Linked DNA regions of Rattus norvegicus. The protein of the gene in region 1 interacts with the protein of each later gene in a pairwise test. Links are inferred from orthologs where the notes say so. Each region holds a gene or a part of one and is shown on either strand. Other genes may lie near its edges.

Region 1 (10,175 bases):
ATTGGTTTAAAAGCTGCAATTGCTTTTTTCATCACTATTAGAATAATAAAACAGAGCTGAAGATCAACTAGAAATCATAGGGACAGACAGAAGCTTTGAGCAGATTCCGGTTTTATCTTTAACCCTAACTTCCATTCACTCAAGCACAGGGAGGAGAGAAACAGCTTAAATACCACTGTGCAGAAGCAGATGCCCCAGACCGCAGACTCCTCTAGAGAAGATATTCAGCACTGCCTTCAACATCACTGTCTGGAAACATAAAAGCACAGAAACAGAAAGAAGAGAGCAAAAGGTGAGGGCTAGGCTCGGGCTTGAAAAATTAAGGCTACGGAACTGAAAGCAACGCTGGTGGGATTAGGAGAGCCACAGAGAGCAGTTGGGAGCAAAGTGGGGAGAGAGCGCAGGCTAGGTGCTGTACCAGATGCTACTTTGAGATCATTGTTCATTTTCACAGACTTGACAATGAGGAAATGATATAACAGCCTTATTTTTAGAATATACACACTGTATATCACTTAAGAACCAAGTGTCATGACATCTGAAAATTATTTCCAAAGGTTTCTGAAAATAATGGTGGTAAAGCAAACATAGCAGGAGGTCATAACTACACACAGTGGGCAAATGCAGCACCAACTGCTATGGAATGCCACCAACACCTCCCGGTGGTGCTAGAAGGTGGGTACACAGGAACACATGTACGGTTCCTAAGACTGCAGCATGATTGCAGCTGCGCTTTCCTTAACCCTGAAAGCATCCTCACCCTCCAACCAAAACTTTCAATGCTGAATTCAAATGGAAACTAATCAGTGTGGTGCACGTTTTAAAGTATCTTTTTAAAACCACTGCAGGAACCTTCGTCAGGGAGACTTTCCAGCTCACAGAAAGTATCCTGGGGGGGGCAGGCTTCCAAAGCCCTTCCACGAAAACAGGAATGGTGGTGCAAGTCACTTGGCACACTGAGACAAACAACCTTCATTGGGCTTTGGGGCAGAAAGTCCTTCATCCAAGGACTACAGAGGCGTGTATACAAATAGTGAACCCCTGCCAAGCTCGACAAAACTTTCATTTATATAGTCACTGCCAGTGTCGGCTCTGACATACAAGAGATATACAACTTGTATGGGGCTCCAGTGTGTCTTGTCCTAAGTGTGCCAACCGACCAACCTCATTCACTCCTAACATTCTTAAGTAGATATTGCTATTTTCCCATTTTCTAGAAACACTCAATTATAAAGCGTTAAGAATTGTACCCAGGCCACTCAGCTAGTGAGTGTATGCACCCTAAGTCCACAACAGTTCTATCGTCCACCTCCCACTGTGGATGACAAGAAGGGAAGGACAAGACTGTGTAACAACATCCCAGGACACCTCAGAGACTGCAGTGATACAATTTTATAGGGGGGAAAAAAGTTCTTGCATTCTAAAGGATTGAAATTTTGTTGGACCTCACAGTCAAATACACCTCTTGATCACAGGCTATCCTACTGTGCAATCAGTCTGTTGGTGTGCAACCTTAAAATAACGATGTAACACTAACCTTACTTGCCTTGGACAGCCCATGAATCAGCTTTTACAACCTGAACTAACGCACTGAGTTAATCTTACATTATATACTCTCCCATGCTCCTGAGCCAGAGGAAGACACGTGTACATATGTATACATGCAGCCTTACATTATATACTCTCCCATGCTCCTGAGCCAGAGTAAGACATGTGTACATATGTATACATGTAGCTAACAACAGCCAACATGTTGGAAACGACCTTATAAAACACTCACCACACATCTTAGAAACAACATATAGGCATAGCTTGTTTGCAGCACTGAGTGCAAATTGGGGTTACTTGGGGTCAGTAAAATGACCTCTCCCCTTGTAAACCTGTTAGTGACTTTTGTAAAGAAACCCTCTTCCTTCTCCATGGGATCCTTCCTGGGTTGTTCAGTAAATACAGACCACAGACAGACAAAGGGAAAGTGAGACACCAGACAGCATTCAGACAGGCAAGGGCACAGACACCCATGGAGATCACGGATAGACCAGTAACTATGGACAGACAGAAGAACAGAGAGAAGTGAAGAGCTCAAACTTGGGCTTACTCTGGATCAAATTAATCAAAGAGGAATCTGTGACTTCATCCCTTGATGCAACACTCACTGATACATTTTCATATTCTGAGGTTACACTTAGTACACGTAACCAATGCAGAAGAGGCCTCATAAATCAGGTGCTGTGGCTTTTAGCAGCTAAAGCATGCTCACAGCCTGGGGACCATCAGCAAAGCCACTTACACAAGGGGATGCCTGCACTTTGCTCTCATAACTAACAATACATATGCATCTGCATCATCCATCCACTGTCCGACCAACTAAGAGGTCTCACTCGTTATCACAGGTTATTCTGGAAGAATTCTGAATTTGCTGTAGAATTGCTTTTGTTCTCAGTGAGACAGCATCCACATATCAGACGTGGGAGGAACCTGAGATCTGGGTCCTCTTCATCAGCAGCTGTGTAAGGGTTAACTTAACCTCCCTGACTCCATGTTTTCTTCTCTGGTCAAAGACATATCAGTGAGCAGAAGGACAGATGACAATACCTCTTAGAGTTGTCATCAGTGAGGGTTAGAGCTCCTCTCAGACAAGTCACCTCCCGTGATACAATACAAGATCATCATGGTCTGACTTAGCTAATGAGTTTACTACAGGGCAAGTGAGAAGGTGATTTTCCTTACATTTTCTGACACACATGGTCCTTTCACATTCAGAGACACACATGGACCAATGGCACCTGCAATCTTCAGTTCCCGAGAGGTCTAAAACAAATCACACATTAAGTTAACAGTCAGCCTGCTGCTACTACGATCATAATACAAACTTAGAGGAAAATTCCCAGAGAAAATTGCTAATAGAGTACACTATCTAAATGCCCACTCAGGCTTTTCCAAGAACACTAGGAGCTGGTTAAAGCGTCAACAAAGTCCACCATAGAAAGTCCATCAAAAGACCAGGTGTAATGGTTCAATAGTAATACTCAGCAGGCTGAGGCAAAGATGAAGAGTTCAAGGCCAGCCTCGATGTATAGTGAGTGTATTTGAGGCCAGTCTGAGTTCATTAGACCATCTCAAAATCAAGACAAAGTTCTTTTGTTTGATTTGAAGCAGAATCCCCAAGTAGCTGAGACTAGCCTGGAAATCCATGGATAGCTCAAGTGAACTTACACTCACAATCCTCCTGCCTCTGCCTAAATGCCAGGATACAGGATGGCACCCCCACACCTGGCCAGGTGGCATTTTCAACTCTATTCATTTCCAACCTTTGATACTGTTATATATGAAAGGTAACAACTCTACCAACTGCATTACATTCTTTTCCAAATACCATGCATATTCATACTTATTTACATATTTCTATCCAGTAAACATTGTCTTGTATTCCTTTAAAAATACTGAATTCACAAACCCTAACAAAATGGTAAGACCAACGGAGATCTTTTTCGTTTCTTTTCTTTCCTTTTCTTTTCTTTGAGGCATGTCACCTCTATGTAGTCCTGATTGTTCTGGAACTCACTACATAGACCAGGCTGGCTCTGAACTCACAGATTTTTCTGACTCTTAATTTTTTTTTCTTAAATTATTATTTAAAATCTGACTTCATTTCAATAAAAATGAATTCAGTCCACACCTCTTTTTGGGGGAGGCAGGGGTGATTTTAGACAGGGTTTCTCTGTGTAGCCCTAGCTGTTCTAGAACTAGCTCTGTAGACTAGGCTGACCTTGAACTCAGAGACCCACCTGCTTCTGCCTCCACAGTGCTGGGATTAAAGCATGCGCTCAACCCATTCCTCTTAGCTTTTACATAGATGCTGGGATCCTAACTCAAGGCACTCATGCTTACACAGCAGGCACTACATCCACAGAGCCAGCTCCCTATCCCCTTTTTTAACAACTTCCAACTCTGCTAAATAAGCAATGAAGCAAACCCCTTAAACATGTAAAGACACTGTTTAAAGCCTACCCTAGATAATTTAATGCTTTTCTCTAATTCTCTAACCAAGTTTCTAACAGCCCCTTTTAATGGTTTCTCAATTGCTTAAGATTCAGTTGTCTAGGACTCTGATTTCCTACAAAGTATTTGAACACCACGTTCTTCTTAAATATAAACCCCACTCTGCAGTGCAGTGGCTCACACCGATGGCTGGGTGGATACTGACCATGTGTGACTTGCCTGTCTTTAAGCCCCAGTATGGCAACCAACACCCACCACACACCCAACTAACTCTACCTATCCTTAACCAGGGTGCAACAGAGCAGGGTCTGAGGAGAAAGAGAAACTTTCTGTTTAGAACCTTAATAAACACATGGGTAATCCCTGAGAAGAAAGGAATACAGTGGACCAAATACTTCGTGATATCCATCTTACTGGATCCTTTTAAGTGGTCATTAAAGCTTATATCTATCAGCTGAGGCTGCAGGGTCTAAGCTGAGCCACACTAATCCCAATCAAGTTTCAAAAGTTGTCATATGGCTACGTACAATACAGCACACTGGAGGGAGAAGCAGCAGATCTCTAGGAGTCCGAGGCAAGCCTGTTCTAGACTAGTGAGTTCCAAGCCAATTGAGGATACACACAGTAAGACCCTGCCTCAGGTAAATAATAAATAATTAAGTATTTATCATGCATGTATGAAAATGCTATAAGCTAATTATATAAGCTAATTTAAAATCAAACTTTTCTAGACGCCTACTGCACCTTGACTTCCAGGGTAGCACCAAACGCCATTCTGAAATCTCCGTTGAAGTCTTTACTAAAAATCCTTTGGAAGGTCTGCTTGAAGAGAGAGGTGTTGAATGAGTCTCCCATCACCATGAGGCCTCTGGATAAGAAAGGGGGAGAGTACACATTTCAAAGGACTGGAAGCCATTTTGGTCGTTCCCGTAAGATTCGCAAACAATTTACACACACACATACACACACACACACACACACATACACACACACACAGAATTTCCTCCCTCCCTGCCAGGTGTCTCCAGGTGACCACGTGCCCCCTGTAAATTGAATGTTTAAAGGAAAAAGCACACCATCTCAGCGAGGAAACCCAGCACTAAGGGATCACCAGTGCCTTTTCCAGGAAAACCATCTACTACCCCTCTAGCTCAGCCTGGGGTCACTGTGACTTTGCCTGAAGTAATCCTCCTAGACCAGGCCATGGACTGCTATTGTTTCCATGGTTGTTTTAGTGCTCCCTCCCATCCCACACCCATTACATGTGTCCATCATCTCCTTGTATATGTGTATTTGTAAGTTTCTGTGTGGGTGTACATATTCATGGAGGGTTCAGAGGTCAGAGGACAACCTGCAGGAGTTGGTGTCTCCTTCCACATTTGAGCATCAGGGACTGAAAGCCTCAGACTTGGTGGCAGGCAGGCACCTCCCTGCTGAGCCATCTTGCTAGCGCTTGTGTTATTGGCTTTTGTCTTCTTTGGAAAAGGGGCTTTTCTTTGTAACATCAACTTCTTGCTATACAGCCCAGGCCAGCCTTGATCTCAAGATCCTCCAGAATGCTAGTGTTACAGGTCTGCCCACCAGGACCAGTGGGAACTCACGCTATTCCAATCCGTTCAACAATACATGTATCTCATCTCTAGTATCTGACCATTCCAAACCACGCTCAAATGACTTAGGCTCTACCTCCTATGCCCGCCCCTAAGAGAGCAGAGAAGAATCACTATGGAGGTTGATTAGAAAGGCATAAATCGGGGCTGGAGAGATGGCTCAGCGGTTAAGAGCACCGACTGCTCTTCCAGAGGTCCTGAGTTCAATTCCCAGCAACCACATGGTGGCTCACAACCATCTGTAATGAGATCTGATACCCTCTTCTGGTGTGTCTGAAGACAGCTACAGTGTACTTATATATAATAAATAAATAAATCTTTAAAAAAAAAAAAAAGAAAGGCATAAATCTGGACCAGAAGATGGTTCAACAAGTAAAGGTGCTTGCCACCAAGCAAGAGATGTTCAATCTGAGTTCCACACAGTGGAAGAAGATAACTAACTTCACACAGTGTCCTGTGACCGCCACATGTGCACACTGGTGCATGCGTGCGTGCCTGCGTGCGTGCGTATTCCGTCGATGTAGGTTCTGATTGGGCAAGTGGGAAATGAGCTCTGAGAGGTTGCACTTCTACTGAGCTCCCAGCAAAACCAAGGCTGTGTATGCTCAAACTCTGATCTATGTTAGAACCACAGGACAGAAACTTTGAAGAATGCTGATACGCAAGCCACGCCCATGTTCATTATTTTAGGCTGCTGGGGACTGGGAGTGGAGAACATGACAGCAAAGCAGCTTGTTTTGTTGCCCTTTCACTCTTAACGCTCCCTAGGTGACACTAATGTGCAGCTGAGCTTCGGATTCAGTGTCCACCTCAGTGCTTCTCGCACTTTCATGAACACCCCAATCTCCACCACTGCTCCCCAAGAGCTTTTGATGCAGAGGTCTGAGGAAAACCAAAGAACACTCCTAATCAGTTCCCATGAGCGCCTAAGGTTCCTAGTCCAGCCATCACTGCAGGCTGAGAATTTATTCTACGTTTTCACTTGAGGACAATATGACTTGTTGGCAAGTGTACCCCATACGGTGACAGTGTGACTAGCATTAATCACAGAGTCATTGGCCAGGTCAAGCTTCTTCTAACTACTTGACACTCAGATGGCATTTACTCATTATCACAAAGAAGTGCCCTGCTGAAGGCCAGGTACTGCATACCAGCTTGATGGCCTAGTCTGCAGACAAGTCTAACAACTCCAAAGAAGAGACAAATTAACAAAGTTACTCGGATGCAACTTGTTCCCAGTGAAATCCTGAGACCTCTTCTAAGCACTGCTTCTTCCTCCACAGGGCCCACAGTCCCTTTCCAGTCACCCATTCCAAACCTCAGAGTCACCAGAAAACTCCAAAGCTGGCCTCACTCACCCCGTAACTCCATCATTCATTCCTTCCCTAGTTCCCAGATGTTCAATGTGAACCTCTTACCCTGTAAGATTTGGACAGCACTTCATCTCCAGAAGTCCAGTTTGATCAAGGGCACAAGCATAAATATCAATGCAGTGACCATTTGTAGCAGTTCGATTAGCAAGCATCTCATAATGCTATAAAGAAAGAAAACTCTTAGGAAACAGAAGCATAGTTCCCAAGGCACATCTTACCACACCTAAGGGTGTTATCAACAACGGGAGCACAGAGTTCACCGCCTATAAAACAGCATGTAAAATCAAAAGGCAGCCTTAGAGTCAAAACTCTTTAAACACTCTAGAGCCGCTCACTCTAACCAGTCAGGTGGGGTCAGTGAGTTCAAAAGAGGCAAGATCTGGAAGACTGTCACTACACAAGCACCCGCTGACCTCAGCAAGCGGCCATCACTGATCTGGAGCAGTCCACACCTGGCTGTGCGACTGTAATTACAGCTGGCATCTGAGGGTACCTACCTTGGTTGCCTTTTTCATGAACCGTGCATTATCTTTCTCAATATCGTGCCAGGAACGAATAGGAGTCTTCAATTCATCTCCAACCACCATGCCAGGTCCTTGGGTCGGGGGCCCACCAGTGAACAGCATGATCCTGGCTCCAGTATTTGGGAATGTACCCTAAAAATAGAGTTAGCGTAAAGACTGTGGCAGAAACATACAGTTCCACCTCTGAGCACGGTTTGTTTCTATATTCAAATCCTCCAGAGACAACCAACTGTCTTCACACTCCTGCTGCCTCACAGGTTCTTGGCACTAGTTCTGCTGCAGAGTAACATCCATGGGGGTGTGGGGGAGAAGAGTATATCTTACTGTCTCCAAACCAGTAAACTTCCATTACTTTAGTAAAAGCACTCCACTACCCTAATTCCCTTAGCTTTTCATGAAAACTTTGTGGTATTTGCAAAATACTGAGTTCCTCCTCGATGTGGATAATAATGATGGAAACATTTTCTTTTTTTAAAAAAACAGATTTATATATTTATTATATATGAGTACACTGTCATTGTCTTCAGACACACCAGAAGAGGGCATCAGATTCCATTACAGATGGTTGTGAGCCACCATGTGGTTGCTGGGATTTGAACTCAGGACCTCTGGAAGAGCAGTCAGTGCTCTTAACTGCTGAGCCATCTCCCCAGCCCAAAACATTTTCTAATACATAGACAAAGGGCTGACTTGAGGCACAAGAAATTTTCCAACAAAGCCAACAAGAACAAGAACAGCTTGTATGATTTGATAGGTCTCTATAAAAATCTGAATTACCTCCAACAAGCCAACAGCAATGGACAAAGCAACACCAGTGGATCTCAGTGGTCTCTTCCCCTGAGTTACGGGCCATGGGTCCCTCTGCAGCTCCCCAAGAAGATCTGTGAGGTTCATGTCAATCTTGTGAACGGGCTGTAGAAATCTGTATGATTTCAAAAGCAAACATCAGTTGAGATTTAATAAAGTACCTTGACCTTCAACCCTAGGGCACACAACTAACCACTCTTCAAAACAATTATCCAATAGGAAAAACTCAAAACTTTTTCCTTCAAAATGATCTCTATAAATACAGAAGCAATTCCAAGGAATTTTAGTGTGAAATATGCCATAAAATCTAATAATCACACTTATGCATGTATCATAAAAAAACCAAGTTGAAAAGGGAAAAGTAAGTTTAATTAAATTTTAAGCAGCAGGGAAACCCTAATGATAAGCCTAGTGTGGCTCCCGTTTGTTTGAGGCCCATCTATGTGGAGAGTCCTCTCCAGGCTGAAGCTTCTGTTTCCATTCCTCTTGGGCCTCAGCAGCTGAATAGAGAGAAACTCTGGTTTCTGAACAGAGAGGAGGCTGTCTCCAGCAACCAGAAGCTTTCGATACACTGACAAAGTGAGTGCCATCTCACAGGCTTATTTAAAAATACCCACAGAAATGATTTATGTTCTGTCTGCTTTACTTAAAGATGAAGGATAGCAGCCATGTGCCAATGAGGAGACCGGATGAACAGTGTCGGAACGTTTCTATGAGGAACTGAGTATCTACTGGTTTGGTCTTTATTTTTTTTTTCTTCTTAGAACTATGGACCCAGAAGTCCTAGGGCTGCTCTCCCTCATCACCTGGGCTGTTAGGCAGGCCCACCACAGAGCGTGACACTGCACCCTGCTGTCTCACCTGCTGGAAACAGCAGACTGCTCCTGAGGTTGACCAGGTCTGACTTGCTGCACAGGCATAGCTGACTTGGTCAGGCCCAGCATCTCCTAAAAGTGAAAAACAGAAAGAGCCAATCCCCATTAACACTACAAGTAAATAATACCATTGCAGACCCACCCTTGCTCCTGCTTCTTTTTGAGGTACTAACCTGTATTTGCTTTGCAGTTAAATCCTTGGTCCCTCGGAAGACATAGCTCTTGGAGATTCCTTCACAGCTTAGCTCATGAACCTGCACCATCCTCCCAAAAGTGATAAGACCAACCAGGGCATCTGGAGGAAGGAGACTCAGAGACATCTGCAGCGACTCTTTGAGTGCTTGAAGGTCATCTTCTTCCAAACACGTGTCAACCACATAGAGAAAGATCAGAGGGGACCGAGCACCTCTCTTCGGGAAAAGAAAAATGGCGTGATGATCAGTATGCACATAGGCATAACCAGGGAGCACAGAAAGAACACGAAAAGTAAATAATAAACCTCTTCACAAGGGACAAATCTGCATTCCACACGACCAATCAGGTACAATATAGCAAGTCTCCACACCTGTAAATATCCAGGGGAGGAGAGCTATATAGTAAGAACCTACAGCAGCTTTACCTCATCAACTGATTACCTCATCATCAAATGATGAGAGCCCAAAGTTTATCAAGACAAACATAAAACTAAAAATGTGTTCACTATTCAATACTCCTATGTGCCAGACATTACTGCAGACCCTGGGTTACATCACTGAACAGCAAAAGGGAGGAAGCAGCAATAGTGAAGGAGGAGGGAGATGCCAGGTCCTTGTGTTAAACAGAGATCATGGCTGGGGATGCTAGCCCATGACGTAACCCCAGCTCTCACGAGAAAGAGGCAGATGGATCTGTGTGAGCTTGAGCCAGTCTGGTTATATACTGAATGCTAGGACAGCCAGACCTACATAGTGATACCATGTCTCAAAAAGTAAATAAATAAAAAAA
Region 2 (9,911 bases), on another chromosome or scaffold:
AAAGACTCATAAATAATATAGTTTCACTAGAAAGAAGGAGAAATGGAGTAAAGATTTGTTAGACGCATCTTTTTATTGTGGCTTCAGTGCCGACAAGAGAATAAATATCTAACAACAGATCCTCCAAGCTGGTTCTGCATAAAAAAAGCACACACAGTAAGAAGCCAATAACTGCTTTCATAGAGCACAGTTGGTTTTTTTTCTCCCCTCCCAGGAAAGAACTACCACTCGAGTTATGGCCAAATGATTAGCTATTAGAAAGACTGGTCCCCCTCGACGCTCAAAGTACCGGTCTCAACTTACAGGCCAGCATATTTTCTCAATACCTTCTTCCCTGCCCATCTTTGGATTTTAATGCTACTTCTTGCCAAAAGTTACTCCTCACCTTCCTCCCCAGCTTGCTTGCACAGAGAGCCTCAGGAGCGGTGAGCCCCCTCAGAGATGGGGAGGGCACCCCTTGGATGGCAGAAAGGCTCCATCAGACACCTTCGTTGCTCCAAATACTCTTCGGTGCCTGAGAAAAATGCTTCTTCTAGTCCCTCTGGAAATCATAGGACTTAGGGAAGACGGGGAAGGGAGCTCACGGATGCTGAGCAAAGAAAAGCTTGGTTGGTGGTTTTGGAGAAGCTGTGTATGAACTGCGGGACTGGCCTGGAAAGAACCGCGGCAGGGAGCAATTTCTAGAGGTGGAAATCAAACAGTGTATCTTCAATCACAACACAGTAACACACCAACAAGATCCTGCTATTATAAATTATTAATTTTAATAATCTCGCCTGTGCTTGCTCCAAAGCCAGTCCTTTGGATTTCAGATGAGAAGCGTTAAGGCCAGGGTACCCGCAATCTATGTGCCAGGGCCAGACCCGCATATTGAAATCAGAGCTTGATTTTGCCGGCTGGGGCCCACCGCCCAGAGCCACCTGGGCGCTAGTCGAGGGAGCGTGGAGGCCCTGGTCTGAGTAAGCTCTCACCCGAGCTCTCCCGCGGCTCTTGCAACTCCTCCGGTCCGGCCTGGTCCTGGCGCTGGGGCTGCTGGGCTTGGTTTGGTCGAGCCGGAAAGGTATGCGTTGAATACGCCTTAGCCCTTTGCTCCAACGCTCTCAGCCCCTTTGGACCAGACAGTCCTGTCCTAGGTCTGGTTCTCACGGCCTTCCCTGCAGCTGGCTTAGCTGAGAAGGCGGTGAGAGTCGCGTCAGCAGTTTGGAGGAGAAAGTGCGGGTTGATTATTGACCCACGCCTTCTTTCTTCAAATGCCACATCCGACCCTGAGGGTTTGAAGGGAAAATGCCGCCGAGCGGATTTTTGCGGCCGGCTCTCACCTCCTACACGTCCCGGGCTCTTCCCTTTCAAGTTGCGCCGCTGCAATATGCCATAAGGAGCAAGTGTTTGCTGTTTTGTGCTCTGTTTACAGCTTTGGGGAGCCGAGTCATAAATCTTGCCCAGCCATAAATGACAAAAACCATTGGTATGCATGAGGCTACCCTGGCCCGGAGTCCTTTTTGATTTCTCCCTTTCCCCCCTGGCTTTGTTTTTGCTCTAAGGTGACACTTTGGCTCCCTGACAGTTTAAACATACTACTTATATTTTTAACACCTTCCTTTGAGAAGGACCCTCGTTGACGCCTCGGAATTGCACGAAAGCTCCATTTCTCTCCTTTTTTTTTTTTTTTTTTTTTTTTTTTGCTTCTGAAGCTGGGAAGCTGAGGGGGTATTGGGAATGATCCCATCCCCTTTAACGTTGTGGCATATTAACAAGCAAATTTAGGCTTTCGCTCAACCCAGCAAAAGGAAGGCCACTCAACTAATTAGAGGGTGAAATACCCTGGACGTCCATTTGTGTTGGTGTCAGAGCCTTATCTCTCTTCCTTACGGGCTACCTGCTTCCGTGTCTGTACTATGCAATGGGTACACAAGAGGTGGAGACTCAAGTTTCTGAATATCTTTGTGTGTGCCTGAGCCCAGAGAGGATCATTTCACTGTGGGGACAGTTGTCCATCTCTCGGGGACACTTCCCTCCGTTAGGCCTAGAAATTTAATCGAAGGCAGTTGAGTTGCTTATGGGAGGTGTGTGGAAATAGGCCCTATACCACAGGGACTGGCTTTAGGGTGTCTGTATTGGGAGCGAGCGGCAGGTGAAGAAAACTGTCAAAGTCAGAGCAACTCATTTCTTCTTCTCTTCTTTCCCCATCCCCCACCCCATGAAAACGTCCATGGCAGGGAATTGCGTGGTTTCTCAGACAGATTCTTAAAAAATAGAACCCCGCAAGAGAGCCCCTTTGTGAGAGCCGTTTGTCCTCATTAGCATAATTTTCCTGGACTTTAGTGACGCCTAGGAAGGAGAGGGAGGGCGTGGGGTGGGGGAGGCCGCCCTCCTCCCTCTGCCGCCGAGCTCGCTCTGCTCCTGTTCCTCCCCTCGCCTCAGCCCCATCCCCCATGCCGGCGCTTCCCTAGCCGCTCTGCTCTCCCCTCCCGCCCGCCCCGGCACCCCTTACCGCACCCCCCGACCGACCCCTGCTCGGCGCAGTATTCATAAGAAACATACCCAAGTCGGTGCCACTAGCCCCGCGGAGCCCGGCCGCGCCAGCGCTTATCTGGGGCCGCGGCCGCGGGCAGGGCGGGGGCGGGCGTGGGGGGAGGGGAGGGGAGGGGGTCCAGCCGCCCCAGTCCGCCGGGGGCCAGCCGCCGGAGCAGCTAGCGGTCCGCCTCTCCGCCGAGTCCCGGCCTTGGGGTCTCCGGCCCGCACGCCCGCCCGCACGCCGGCTCGGCGGATGCTGAGGGTCGGTGGCCATCCCGCGCCGAGGGGACCCGGGGCCGCAGCCTGAGCCCGAGCCCGCGGCGGCCGTCAGAAGTTAAGGTAAGCGGGGCCACCACCGGCCGCTCTCAGCGCTGAATGGTGGAGTGTACGTCTCGGTGATTTATGGCTGCAGACTTAAATCTCGGTTCAAGAAGAGTTCACAAGCCGGAGCTTCCTCGCCGGCAGTGACTGATACCCTCACACTTCAGTTCAGGCCGCGCTCCCATCCCCGCCCCCACTCTCCCCTCTTCCCTAGCCCAGCCTCAACTTTTCTGGGCTGGTGAGATAGAGAGGGGAGTGGGCTAGAAATCGGGGCTTCTACCTCGACGTCCCCTTTCAAACTCGGGTGAGGGAAGCTAAGGGAAGAAGAGGGAGCGGAGTCTGGAGAAGTCGAATTTGGGCATACCTTGTGTAGAGACACAGGGCTTCTGGCTTCCTGAATTCAGTTCTTGCCTCCTCAACTCGCTTCAGCTCTTGCACCTGGAGGTTATTGTCTAGGAACAGAGCTTTGGGGAGGAATCTCCCTCCACCCTCAACCTTTGCTTGTGGGGGACAAAGCAAAGTTTCCTGGCTGGCAAATCTCCAACTTCTTTACTAAATTGAAACTTTGGGGGCTGGAGGGGGCGGGTTGTGTGGACTCCAAGGTGACTGCGAACCTCAAACAATGGGATCTCTGAGTTGAATTCAGGTTTTAAGTTTGTGGACGCTGCCCTATGCACTTTGATTTTAAAGTTATTTTTGTGATTCTTTCAAGACAATGCACAGTACAATGGAAAAAGGTTTAAGCAAGCCGTAGGCTGGTATAGCCTGTGCTAATGGCTTAGAAAGTCACTAGAAACCCTGCACGTTCAAAATCAACTAATTTTGTTTTATCTAATATTTTGCTGTTCGTATGTCTAGAGTCATTTTCTTAATCTGACGTTTATCTTAATTAGGCTTGGTGCCTCAAAAATTTATGACAGACATTAATGCTACCAAATGTAATGGGAATTGTTTTCAATGTAAGAACGAGAAAAGTAGATATTAGATTATAATTCACTCTTAAATTTTATTTTACCCTTTATTTACTTTCCATAGTGTTATCTGTAACTTCCTAGATGTTTTCAAAAGGGAAACAGCATTCAGGCTTCATGACAAGCACAGTAATTCTGGATAAGTGCTGCTGTAATTTTTATTGAGGTTCTGGAAAGTTAATTGTGCCTGTTTTCCAGATGCTGATTAGATTGTTGGTTTGATGATGAAATCTAAGGGAGTTCATTATTACGAACAAAACTATAATCGTCCACTGGTGGATGCTTGCTATGTATATATTTCCCTGGTTGACAGTTGGTACTTCTAGAAAAGTTGAATAACTCTGGGATCGAGTAGCCATAGACAGGGCTTTAAATGTTAAACATTATCTACATGGATTTACTGTTACAGCTTTTTTAGCTGTCAGAGGGACTAGCATTCTGATGGTGTGGCTAGGGGTGAACATGTAAGACTTCCAAGGAACTTTTCTTGCTGAGAATTATAAGTTTATCAGGAGAACACAGATTTCATTTCTATAAAGTACTTTCTAAATAAGAGATTTGGGCTTTTTTTTTAAATGTTTTTCTTTACTTGGTACTTCTGAAGCAGGAAAATGAACCAAATAACAAATCTGATCAACAACAGTATGTACAAAGATCAGGGACGTCTGGCAGGAGTTTATGGTTTGTGCTTCCTCCTCTGGAGCCAAATGACCCCCATACATCAAATTACATAGCAGTTTCTAAGACAGAACCTATTATCGTTAAGTTGGAAGGAGAGTTCAAGCCGTGGTCATGGAGATGAACGCTGGTTTTTCAGGTTCCTGGTGGGTTGTTTTTTTTTTCTCTAATCCATCATGTTTTAACAGGTAGAATTTGATAGTTGCCCAGAATAACAGCACCTCAGAAAATCTGAGGCAGGAGAGTCGTCGGGAACCTCCTGAAACTTTGAAAAAGAGGTTGAAGTGACTTGTTTCAGTTTGTCTGAAAAACAGGGTGGGAGAAAAGGTAGAGAAAATTCCAGGATTTGAGTTGTGTGTGACTTGTGGGTGGAGTTGGGAAAGACCAAGACCAACACCACGCACACGCGCGCGCGCACGCGCGCATACACACACACACACACACATGCACACACACGCGCACACACACACACACACACACACACACACACACACACACAGGTTGGTGGTGGTGTCCTTCTAAAGTTTTCTCTCCCACCCACCCTCTTCTTGACCTTATAGGGTTGATTTGGAGCAGGTTGGTCCTCTTCCCTGAACTAGAACAAACCTAACAAACTCAGCTTCCAAAGTCCATCATGATCCAATAAGGCAATTGCCTACTTGTGTGTGTGTGTGTGTGTGTGTGTGTGTGTGTGTGTGTGTGTGTGTGCAAACCTCCTTTGAGAACTCCAGGAAAAGCCTGGTTAGGAAGGAAATCTGACTATCTTAGGTCTTTTGAACAAATATGAATTCTAAAATGAGAATTGGAGGAAAAATGACCCTTTGCCCTCTTGAGAGTTCCCCCAAGATCTCGATCGAGAAAGCTCCGGCTTCTACAAAGGGACACCACGGTTTCTTCTGCAAAAGAAAGACCCCAAAGTAGCTTCCAGACCCCGTCTCATTTTAGACCTCGGCTCCGGAGACCTAGCTCCCAGCCCTTACTGGTTCTACTGCTCCGCAGAAAATCCCCCAACTCCAGACGCAAGTTAAGCAAATATTTGTAGCTGCCAGTAAATTCCAGCAGCTTTTTATAGTGCGGCTCCCTGCGCCCGGGGCCACGTCGTGCTGCTAAATATTGCTGACCACTTTTTCTTTTATGGCTTTCATGTCACTTAGCTATTGAGAGTAAGATGGATTTGCGCGGAGCCCTCACCGCGCTGCACTTCTCCCCCCTCCCTCAGGTCTGCGCGCGGCGGCCATTGGCGGCGGAGTGTCACGTGACTGCGGGGGCGTGCCAATGTGCTCCCTTACGGGTGTCAAGCCCTTGTCAGAGAGTGTGATCACGATCGTGAAACATCGCGATGCAAAAAGCGACCTACTACGACAGCTCGGCGATCTACGGTGGCTACCCCTACCAAGCAGCCAATGGGTTCGCTTACAATGCCAGTCAGCAGCCATACGCGCCGTCCGCCACTCTGGGCACGGATGGTGTTGAGTACCATCGACCCGCCTGCTCCCTCCAGTCTCCCGCCAGCGCTGGGGCCCACCCCAAAAGTCATGAGCTGAGCGAAGCTTGTCTGCGCACCCTGAGCGGGCCTCCTAGCCAGCCCCCAGGCCTGGGTGATCCACCTTTGCCTCCACCTCCTCCCCAGGCAGCGCCCCCAGCCCCCCAGCCTCCACAGCCCCCACCACAGCCCCCTGCACCCACCCCTGCAGCTCCTCCGCCTCCCTCATCTGTCTCTCCCCCTCAAAGTGCCAACAGCAACCCTACCCCTGCCAGCACAGCCAAGAGCCCCCTGCTCAACTCTCCCACCGTGGGCAAACAAATCTTTCCCTGGATGAAAGAGTCAAGGCAGAACACTAAGCAGAAAACCAGCGGCTCCAGCTCAGGTAAATGGATGCCTTTTGGAGGCGGGGCCTCTGGCCAAGCTCCAGGCTCCAAGCCACTTCTAGCTATGCCAGCTAGCTATTCCCTGGAGCAGAGGAGCATCTCCAGAAATTTGCCCCTACCCCCCCACCCCCACACACACCAAGGGGAAAGATCTTTCCAGAATCTTTGCTACTTAGGGAGGTGATAAGGTTTCCGTGCAAGGATCCCTCAGACATAAATCTGACTCAAGTCCCTCTGGGCGTCTCTAAGGAGGTTTGAGCCTAGTGACGTTGAAACCCTTCTTTGTTCCAGTGTTGGGAGTTCTGACCTCTAGATAGATCCATCCTCAGGACCACTGTCTCTCTAAGCCCACGGCTCCTTTTTTCTAGGCAAACAGTGGCATCCTCCCCAGACTGAAACGTGGCAGAATAAAAGCAGGCCTAGTCATCACCCAAGTCAGAATCAATGCTTTGTCTATAATCAGAGCCAATGTTCTCTGCAGCAGATGGACTGGCTGCTTTACTTCTGGGAAGGAAGGCCTTGCTCAGCCTTAGTACAATGCAGGAGGCAGCCGGGCATCCCCTGGGGGAGGGGATTCAGCTTGTCATCCTAATGGGAACCACATGGGGCTTTGGGAACTGGACTCCAGTGGGGGAACCTTAGCCTCAGGGACTTGGGCTTCCAATCTTCTTGGTTACCTTGGGGGCCTTTCCTCTCTGGTTTCCTTGGCTCTCCTCCAGAACTGATATTTGGGGAGCCAAGGAGGACAGGAGGCACAAACGTGATGGTTCAAATTGGGGCAGCCTTCATGGTGACATTGAGAACCTCATGATGAAGACTCCTTAAAGCCTGGGCTTCTCTACCAGAACTAGATAGCTTTGGTGAGGTCTGGTCTCTTTGGTCAGAGGTCTCCCAGTTGGACAATACCAACCTGTTCGTCTCCTCTTAGTAGATATCGGAAACTGGTTAGTTGAAGCTAATGGCTGACCACTCAGGCAGGATGAAAGGTCTTCATGTATACACTAGGTCTCCCACATTCCAGCAACTGAAGGAACCTGCTCACAGGAAGCTTGTTTTCTGCTGGACCAGTAAATAAGCTGGGCGAGTCAAATAGAGAGGAAGTGCAGGGCAGCAAGGCAAGCAGGAGGCTCTGCTGCTCTGTCCTCTCCTTGAAGAAGCCCCTGATTTGCTCCTTAGAGGAAGGAAGGGCAGGCTAACCAGGCCATTTCCGCACACCAAGGGAGGAAGGCAGCACTGAAGTCCTGCTCCTCTCTGGCCTTGGACAGAGGCTTCTGTGGGGTGAAGAAAGGAGGGGCAGGCCTAGGACTGGGGAGCTGGGCGGGGTCGCTAGCAGCCCCTGACTCCGCTCTTCCTCTGTGTTCTGGCAGGGGAGAGCTGCGCTGGTGACAAGAGCCCGCCTGGGCAGGCTTCGTCCAAGCGCGCGCGCACGGCGTACACGAGCGCGCAGCTGGTGGAGCTGGAGAAGGAGTTCCACTTCAACCGCTACCTATGCCGGCCGCGCCGAGTGGAGATGGCCAACCTGCTGAACCTCACCGAGCGCCAGATCAAGATCTGGTTCCAGAACCGCCGTATGAAGTACAAGAAGGACCAGAAGGGCAAAGGCATGCTGACTTCGTCTGGGGGCCAGTCCCCAAGTCGTAGCCCTGTGCCTCCCGGTGCAGGAGGTTATCTGAATTCTATGCATTCGCTGGTCAACAGTGTCCCATATGAGCCCCAGTCACCCCCTCCTTTCTCCAAGCCCCCCCAAGGCGCCTACGGGTTGCCTCCGGCCTCCTACCCTGCTCCCCTGCCCAGTTGCGCTCCCCCACCTCCCCCACAGAAACGCTACACAGCGGCGGGGTCAGGCGCAGGGGGCACCCCTGAGTACGACCCACATGCTCACGGCCTGCAGGGCAACGGCAGCTATGGGACCCCACACTTACAGGGAAGCCCCGTCTTCGTAGGGGGCAGCTATGTGGAGCCCATGGGCAACTCTGGGCCAGCACTCTTTGGCCTAACTCACCTCCCCCACACCACCTCGGCTGCCGTGGACTACGGGGGCTCTGGGCCGCTGGGCAGCGGTCACCACCATGGGCCTGGGCCTGGGGAGCCACACCCCACCTACACGGACCTTACTGCCCACCATCCTTCTCAGGGAAGAATTCAGGAAGCGCCCAAGCTCACCCACCTGTGATGATGGGCTGGGGCTGCAAGCCAGGAGAGTTGCCCACCCAACCTTCTTTGGTTTCTTTTTCCTCTGTTTTGTTTTGTTTTATGTTCTTCTCGCCTTTCCCCTTTCTCCTCTGCACCTCTCCCTCATTTTCCCCCTTCGGTAATGCGTTTTTATAGTTTATGTGACGTAGCAATCTTGGTTGCTGGAAAGGCTGTCAGTATCAGTAGCAACATTTACTACCACCCCTCCTCGCCCTGGCCTCTGGCCCTGCACCCTCTACCCTCTCTACTCTTCGATAAGAAACAGGGTATATGAACAAACTTTCTAGTCGAGTTTTCAATGTGAATTTGTTCATACTTTATGGCTCCCGAGAGGAAGCAACTGCGTTTTTTTTTTTAAGTTTTAGTTTTTAAAATTGCACTTCTTGTAATGATCGAGAAAAAGAAATCAAAGGCGCTTTGAAACAGGGACTCCCTGTGCAAAGTTGACTAAGTGTACGTCTTTCCGTGTGTGTGTGCTGGTGAACAGTCAGATTTATTTATATTTTTTTGCAAGCATTGAATAGTCTAAGTTTTAAATATTATTTATCCCCATCCGTTCGTATTTATATTAAAGAAATTCTGTACCCTGATTGTTCAGAAGGTTTCTTGAGCCTTTTGTTCAATGGTGTATTGGCATACATATAAAATTTATTTGAAAGGGAAATAAAATTCCTTTATAAAAACCGTAGCAATGCAATAAGAACAGAGAGGACCCAGAGTTTGAAAATAGTGGTTTAGGTTTGTAACATCCGGCAAAACTGAACGCTAAAAATGCCAGATTTGTTTTGAGAGTTTTACATTCCTTGCTGCTCACATTCTGAGAAACAAAACAAAAAAAAATAAAGTTTTTATTCTGATTAAGATCCGTGTCAAAAGGGGTTCTTTGGCTGGAGACGGGTCTCTGCGTGGAGTTCTGGCAGAAGCGAGCTGGCAGCGGCTGCAGCAGCACTGCGACTCCGGCGTGCGGCCTGGTCCGGCGGCGTCTGCCTTGGAAGCTCAGCGAGCTCTGGGGATAGAGGCCGCGGTTTCAAGCGACTGCTGCCGCTGCTCGGGAAATGCCGTGCTCCGGGCCCGCTGAGCTGCCTGGTTCCCAGCTGCCGCCCAAGCAGGGCGCCAGGCTGCTGAGTGCGGGGCGGCCTGGCAGAAACAAAGGCGGTCGGCCTGGGCGCAGCGGGCGGCGCACAGGTGCGGGGCGCCGCGCACCGAGAACCCGGGGCTCCTCTTCATTTTCCCCCGCACCGAAGGCCCAGCGGCCAAGGCCTCAACCTTGGGAACAGCACAGGGTCTTAAGCTCTTCTCACAAGCTACCGAATTCCAGGTCTCCACTGAGGATGCTTCGCGGTTCATTATCACTTCTGAAGAAGA

What was found.
Region 2: the proteins of Sec23b (region 1) and Hoxa3 interact in binary tests that used the Homo sapiens proteins (3 or more experiments, as listed by UniProt). The two-hybrid records come from large-scale screens. The link is inferred for Rattus norvegicus from reciprocal best matches to the Homo sapiens genes SEC23B and HOXA3.

Annotation. Positions count from the first base shown.
Region 1 is NC_086021.1:152,401,804-152,411,978, reverse strand, and holds part of Sec23b (protein transport protein Sec23B), read right to left. Parts: intron 9,602-10,175; coding exon 9,365-9,601; intron 9,264-9,364; coding exon 9,178-9,263; intron 8,432-9,177; coding exon 8,287-8,431; intron 7,642-8,286; coding exon 7,483-7,641; intron 7,147-7,482; coding exon 7,031-7,146; intron 4,871-7,030; coding exon 4,747-4,870; intron 2,812-4,746; coding exon 2,731-2,811; intron 1-2,730. UniProt on the Homo sapiens protein: Component of the coat protein complex II (COPII) which promotes the formation of transport vesicles from the endoplasmic reticulum (ER).
Region 2 is NC_086022.1:82,599,356-82,609,266, reverse strand, and holds the end of Hoxa3 (homeobox protein Hox-A3), read left to right. Parts: intron 1-2,541; coding exon of another isoform or gene 2,542-2,788; exon of another isoform or gene 2,789-2,853; intron 2,854-3,199; exon of another isoform or gene 3,200-3,337; intron 3,338-5,703; 5' UTR 5,704-5,823; coding exon 5,824-6,352; intron 6,353-7,720; coding exon 7,721-8,526; 3' UTR 8,527-9,407; downstream 9,408-9,911. Other genes in the region: Hoxa3l1 (vasodilator-stimulated phosphoprotein-like), read right to left, coding at 2,542-2,788. UniProt on the Homo sapiens protein: Sequence-specific transcription factor which is part of a developmental regulatory system that provides cells with specific positional identities on the anterior-posterior axis.